Linked DNA regions of Canis lupus familiaris. The protein of the gene in region 1 interacts with the protein of each later gene in a pairwise test. Links are inferred from orthologs where the notes say so. Each region holds a gene or a part of one and is shown on either strand. Other genes may lie near its edges.

The links. The genes of interacting proteins can lie anywhere in the genome.
Region 2: the proteins of AP1M1 (region 1) and AP1B1 interact in a two-hybrid assay, tested with the Homo sapiens proteins (2 studies listed by BioGRID, with this or other methods). The link is inferred for Canis lupus familiaris from reciprocal best matches to the Homo sapiens genes AP1M1 and AP1B1.

The regions. Positions count from the first base shown.
Region 1 is NC_049241.1:46,687,789-46,691,352, forward strand, and holds part of AP1M1 (AP-1 complex subunit mu-1), read right to left. Parts: intron 3,219-3,564; coding exon 3,071-3,218; intron 1,506-3,070; coding exon 1,470-1,505; intron 1-1,469. UniProt on the Homo sapiens protein: Subunit of clathrin-associated adaptor protein complex 1 that plays a role in protein sorting in the trans-Golgi network (TGN) and endosomes.
Region 2 is NC_049247.1:23,074,061-23,077,624, forward strand, and holds part of AP1B1 (AP-1 complex subunit beta-1), read right to left. Parts: intron 3,387-3,564; coding exon 3,281-3,386; intron 850-3,280; coding exon 714-849; intron 1-713. UniProt on the Homo sapiens protein: Subunit of clathrin-associated adaptor protein complex 1 that plays a role in protein sorting in the late-Golgi/trans-Golgi network (TGN) and/or endosomes.

The DNA.
Region 1 (3,564 bases):
ATCGTATAACCGTTAAGAGGATTGAAATTTGTAGTTAAAAATATGCTGAAAAAGGAATGCCTGGGTGTATCTGTTGGTTAAGCATCTGACTCTTGCTTTTGGCCTAGGTCATGATCTCAGGTTGTGAGATTGAGCCCCACACTGGGCGTGGAGCCTACTTAAGATTCTCTCTCCCTCTCCTTCTGCCCCTCCCCTCTCTTAAAAAAAAAAAACCTGAAAAAGAAATTTCTAGACTCAGATAGTTTCACTATCAAATAAATTAATTCTACCAAATAAAATTAAAAATATACAATTTACGATACCTTCAAAAAATGAAATACTTAGGTATAGCTCTAAAGAAAATGTATAGGTAGTAAAAACTACCAAATGTTGATGACAGAAATCAAAGATGACCTACCTAGAGAGAAAAAGACACATACAGCGTTTTTGGATTGTGAAGCTTAATATACTAAAGATAACAGTTTTCTTCCATACTGATTAATACAGTTATTTAATAAAATAACAATTAAAATCCCAGTAGGATCTTTTTGTAGATAGAGACAAGTTGATTCTACAATTTTATACAAAGGGACTAAATAGCTACAACAATTTCAAAAAAGAAGAATGTTGGAAGAATCACATAATCTGATGGAGACGTAATAAAGTTACAGTTATCAAGACAGTGTGGTATTGGCAAATAAACAGATACACAGATCTGAGGCCAGATATAGACTTGCATGAATATGGTCGATTGCTTTTTGACAAAAATACAAGTGCATTTAATGGAGAATGGGATGGTTTTTTCAAAAAATTATATTGGAACAACTGCAAAACACTGTTCTACATGCAAAAATAAATGCATATAAACCTCGTACCTTATGTAAAACTTAACTCAAAATGATCATGGATCTAAATGTAAAACTACAAAACTATTAGAAGAAATTCAGGAGAAAACCTGTATGACCTTAGATTTGGTGATGAGTTCTCAGACATGGCACCAAAGGCACACATCAAAAAATCGGTAACTGGACTTTCTCAAAGTTAAAAACTTTTGTCCTGTGAAAGATACTGCACCAAAAGAATGAAAAGACAAGTGACAGACTAGAAGAAGACATCTGCAAATCACATATCAGATGAGAGATTTATAATCCAGAATATATAAAGAACTTTCAAAATGCAACAATCAGAAAACAAACAACCCAATTTAAAAATACTCAAATGACATGAAAAGACACTTCTCCGAAGATGATATGTGGATGACAAAGGAAGCACATGAAGAGGTGTTTAACATCATTAGCCATTAGGGAAATTACAAATTAAAGCCATGATAAGCTAACACGACACACTGATTAAGATGGCGAAAATTAAAACACCGATCAAGGATGTGGAGCAACCAGAATGTTCATCCACTGCTGATGAAAAGGCAAAGATGGTGCAGTCACTCTGGAAAACGATTTGGCAGTTTCTTATAAAGTTAAACATACACTTACCATATGACCCAGCAATCCCACTCCTGGGTGTTTTCCCTAGAGAAATGAAAACTTCTGTCTACACATAAACCTGGATGTGAAACATTTATAGCAACTCTATTCACAACTGCCCAACACTGGAAAAAAACCCAAAAGTCCTTCAATAGGTTGAATGGGTAAACAAGGTATGCTTCAGGATATAAAATAAATATAAGAAGAAACAAACTTCTGGTAAACGTAGTAACTTGGATCTATCTCAAAGACATTATGCTAAGTGGAAGAAGCCAGGGACGCCTGGGTGGCTCAGTGGTTGAGCATCTGCCTTTGGCTCAGGGCGTGATCCTGGGATCCGGGATCAAGTCCCACATTGGGCTCCTTGCAGGGAGCCTGTTTCTCCCTTTGCCTGTGTCTCTGCCTCTCTCTCTCTCTCTCTCTCATGAACAAATAAATAAAATCTTAAAAAAAAAAAAAAAAAAAAAAAAAAGGAAGAAGCCAGACTCAATAGGCCACATACTGTACAATGCCATTCATAGGACAATCTCAAAAAGACAACATTCTAGAGTTGTCCTCCTTATCTGCAGGAAATATGCTCCAAGACCCCCAGTGGATGCCTGAAACTGCAGACAGTACCAAATCCTATATATACTATGTTTTTTCCTATATAGATCTCTAATAAATTTTAATTTATAAAATTTAATTTATAAATCAGGCACGGTAAGAGATTCACAATGAATTAATTGTGACATGGGACAATTAGAACAATATACTATAATAAAAGGTAAGTGGATGTAGTTTCTTTCTCTCTCAAAACACCTGATTGTACTGTTACCCACCGTTCTTGTGATGATGTCAGAGGACAAAGCGCCTACATGACAACGTAAAGTGAGGTGAATGACATAAGCCTTGTGATGTAGTGTGAGGTGGCCACTGACCCTCTGACAATAGTCAGGAGGAGGACATTCTGACTGAGGACCATGGCTGACTGGGGAAGAGAAACTGTGCAGTGCCAGGGACTGGAGTGGTGGCTGCCAGCAGTGGGGGGAGAGGCGGAAGGGTCAGACTGCCGAGGGCGGCAGTAGGGAGGGCTTAGAGGGGATGTAGCTCCTGATTATGGCACTGGGGTACAAAAATCTGTACATGTGCAGAAATTAACAGAAAAGAAGGTCAATTTTATTAGTGAAAATTTAAAAAATAAAAGGAAAAAGCAAACATACACAGTCAAACAACAATAATAAAACAAGTTGCAGAACCACATCCTACGCTCTCGGCTTCATGGAAAGAACAGTGCATGTTTGTGAATTTACAGAATGAGGTCCAAAAGGATGCTAATAAATCTTAAATGAGGTGGTCTTTCTGAAAATGGAACACTCTGCTAACTCTCCACACTGCTTTAAAGAGTGACAGCCACGATGTGTCTGCATTGATTCTAAACAGGAACACAAGCTAGTGGAGAGAAAAGAGGCTCAGCCATGAGTGGCCTAAGCTGAACCCTGCTGATCTGCTGTCATAAAGAAAGTAAATGTCTCTCAGCGCCTTGCTAGTTTTAAAAGTCCCAGTGCTTTTATTTCAACCATGGAAAAGACAAAATTTTTCTGAAAGAAAAGGAAGGAAAGGAAGCCTACCAAGAGGTTGACAGACTCGATGACATCCAAGAACACCTCATTCTTCCGGTACTTGATGCCCTCGGACCGCCAGGACACTGCATTGGTGACAGTGGCTGGGGGCCTCGGGGCCCCCGTCTCCAGCTTGTGGCCTTCCTGAGTGATGTACCTGTGGGACCGTGCCAAGAGTTAAGGAGTTCAGGCACTGACATTTTGAAAACATTCCCTCCCTAGAGCAGGTTCCAGAAAAGGCAGGCTCTGGTTTCACCTGAGCTGTTTAATACAAGAATATCTTACAATGTGTCCATAAAGCCCTGACAAACTTGAGTTACAATGAGCATAGAGTGTTCATTTTTCACTTGAGGGATGGTGCAAGGAGGGGACCTGAATTTGCTCTTCTGCTCGATGTGCAGAGGGGACTGACCCTTGGGGGAGAAGCTGGTGACCCCAATACCACTTGGGGAACAACAGGTGTGAGATGTGGGCCAGTTATGTGGCTTCTCTGAGTGCCCCTC
Region 2 (3,564 bases), on another chromosome or scaffold:
CTGGGGTCCCAGGATCGAGGCCCCACATCGGGCTTCCTACAGGGAACCTGCTTCTCACTCTGCCTCTGTCTCTCATGAATAAATAAATAAAATCTTAAAAACAAAAACAAAAACAAAAAAACCCCTGGCACTTCAAGTCCCCATTTGCCTTTTTTTTTTTTTTTTTTTTTTTTTTATTCAGAGAGAGAGAGAGGCAGAGACACAGGCAGAGGGAGAAGCAGGCTCCATGCAGGGAGCCCGTCATGGGACTCGATCCTGGGTCTCTGGGATCACACCTCCGGCTGCAGGCGGCACTAAACCACTGCACCACTGAGGCTGCCCCCCCCCCCCCGCGTGCCCCCCCCCGTTTGCTCCTTAATCTAAGTGGAAAACACAGAAAGGGGCAAAGTCTAAAATGGGAACACAGGAGCTCTGAGATGCTGAATTCTGCCCTGGCAACGGATGTAGGGCATTGGTGCACCCCAGGGGGATATGAGGATCAATAAAGGCCTTAGGCTACCTCACACAGAATGAGTTAACAGGGTCTATAGTAACTGATTTTTCTGAGAGTGGGAGCCCTCTGCTGGAGGACTAAGTGGCCCTCAGGCTGGGAGTCAGAGGGACTAGAAAGGAGCCTGAGTGTTTTTACTCAGGGCCATAGTGTCCCACCCCAAGAGATGGAGGGAAGAGGGAGCAGTGAACACCCATGCCTTTCCTCCCACCAAGCTATTTACCTTCACAAAGGTGTTGACAGCCATGATGGCCATGTCCGGCTGACTCTTGGCGTAGTTCATCAAATACAAGTACACCAGCTTCTTCAGCTCCAGGTTGTCTGTCTGCATACAGTTCACCACGTCAGGAAAGAGGGCACTGAAAAGTCAAAATGGCATGAGCGTAGTTAAGGCTGGAGAAAGAAGAAGGTTTTTCAGAGAGCTAATGGGGGGTCTGGGAGGTGGGGTGGGGGCGCAGAGATAGTGGATGGGAGAGAAAGAAAAAGATAACAGGACTTCCTAGTAAAAGGGAGGACATCAGCTATGCTCTGTTAACCATGAACACTTATTGGTAGTAATGGAATCGAAAAGGTGATTTGAAAAGCAAAGTCCTCTGTTCTTTTCACGGGATTCATTCATATACAAGCTCTACAGCCTATCAGACCTGGCTCAAAACCAGCTCTGTCTCCTTCATCCCCCCACAAGTTTGTTCACCTCCAGGGAAGGTGTAAAAAAACCCCATTACACAGGGCCCTGTAATATTTAAAGAGGGCACCATACTCCAGATATCTGGTCTTTGACATCCGAGAGGTGCTAAATAGATGAAAACAATTGTTTTCTTTCCCTGAAACTTAATGCGGCCCCCTTATATTGGGCTGCTGGTTCCAGATGGTTGTAGGGAAGTGGGAATAGGCATGTTCCTTTCACCAGAAGGGCCAGCTCAGATGCCCACTAAAAACTAGCTCAGCATGTATGGAGCATTTGCTCTATGCCGGGCTTTGTATGTGTGATCTCATTTAACAACCCCAAGAAGCCAGTGTGTTATCTTCATTTTACAGAAGACAATATTACGGCTCATAAATGTCAAATAACCTGCCTGAGGAGCCAGCTCTGGTTCTAAAGCCCATGCCCAGGACTGCTGTTATTCTGGGTGGAACCCCTCCCAACACGGTACCCCAGAGTCCCAAACCCCCTGAGATGTGAAATATGCTTAGAGGTCAATTTCCTTCCTCTCTCTGGCATCATTACCTCCCCTCTCAAGGCTTGTGACTTAATGGTCGAGGACACAGTAACAGAGACTTAAGAGGTCAAAGTGAGCTCCCTGGACTCCCTTAGAAGGGAACCCAGTTGATAATGCTGACCTTGATGCATCACCTTGGAAGATGAAGAACCAAGAAGAAAGAGGAAGGTGAAGAGGAGAAACAGCTGATGGGCCTGTCACATCAGCACAACAAGTTCGCTTGAGACAGAAGAACAAAGGTGCTTCCTCTGTGAGGAGGTGACAGCAATGTTCTAGTTGAAGGAGAATGGCTTTGTCCTGGAAGGATGTGACTTGGAAGGAGGCCTAATTTTCCAGCAGACGCCTGATCCTTTTGCCACTCTGTCTACAGCAGGTCTCTCTGCAGAACTGTTTCTACTGTGGTACTGTTAGGAGGTCCCTTGCTGAGGTGGCAATAGGATAAGGCAATCCACAGAGAAGTCTGGAGAAGTGTGATCCTGATGTGGGATCCAGATGAGGAGCTGCTCCACATCAGTGCCCAGGCCTATGAGTCAGGAACTGGGCACCATGAGGGCATAGAGGAGAGGGTATGGGTGGAAATGCCCTGGATTTCGATTTCAGAAGAGCTGGGCCTGAGTCCTAGTTCTATTAACCACGTGACTGCTGGGCAGCCACTAGACCCTTTCTTTACCTGGTTTCCTTGGCAGTAAACACATCATTACCTGCAATATAGGAATTGTAAAGAACTGCTAGAGAACCTATCTGAAAGTTTTCTGCTTACTCTCAAATACTGTGCAACTCTTAAGTTGTTGCAAAATCCAATCCTCCTCCTTGGGGACTGTATGACATGGTGGGCAGGTAAACACAAGTACACATAATAAAAGGACAGTCAAGAATTAGTGCCAGGTGATAGGAACACAGAACAAATGCTGCACACTCAGGGGGGTGGGCTGGGGTGACGAGTGAAGGCAACAGAGACACCGTGAATGGGGTTTAAGAGATGGGAAAACATGCTGGTAAATGTAAAAGGGGAAAGGGACATTCTACACAGGGCAAAAGTGTGAGCAAAGGTGAGGCAGCATTCTACATATGATTTGCTCTGGCAATCAGATGCAAAGCAGAGGCTGCAAACTAGTGATAAATTCGATAAATTCCATCTGCAGGTGTGTGTTACTGTTACTACAGTATTTGTTTAATATCATCTTGGAAACCTAAAATAAAGAGATTTAAAATGAAAAATCCTGATTTCTTATTTTTAAAAAAAAAAACCAGACCTGCCCAGACTGGGTTCATTCTCCCCAGCTGGCAGCAATCCTTTGGAATCTCTGACAGGGTTCTGCTACATCCACTTCATTTGCTTGTTACCTTTTTGACCTTGCCCACTTCACTTACTCTCCTGCCACTTCACCCCAGCAGCATGTGAGCATAGGACCCCTCTGTAAACAAAACCTTCTGTTTGGAAAGGTGGTTCATGAAGGGAGCTATAACAAGGGGAGACACAGGTACCTAGAGATAATGTCAATGAGAGATCTGAACTAGACCCAAGCTTTGGAGCCCCGCTCCTGCTGCCACCCGGCCTACGCCTGCACACCTGACATCTTTGCCCACGGTCATTGACGCAATCACTTTCTTTACCGCCTCCTTCTTCTTCTCCTTCTTGTCACTGTTGAGCTCTGCCTTCAGCTCGAAGATCTCCCCTAAAAAAGGAGGCAGGTATGAGTGATCCACCCCCACCCTACCAGGGGGTCATTCTCAATCCCCAAATTCCAAAGGATGGGAGGGCAGAGGCAGGTAAGACATTCTGTGCTACCAGCTGAGGGCAGCTTTAGGTCCTTGGCCTTCATGACAGAGGCAGTAGAGAGGGACAATTCTGAG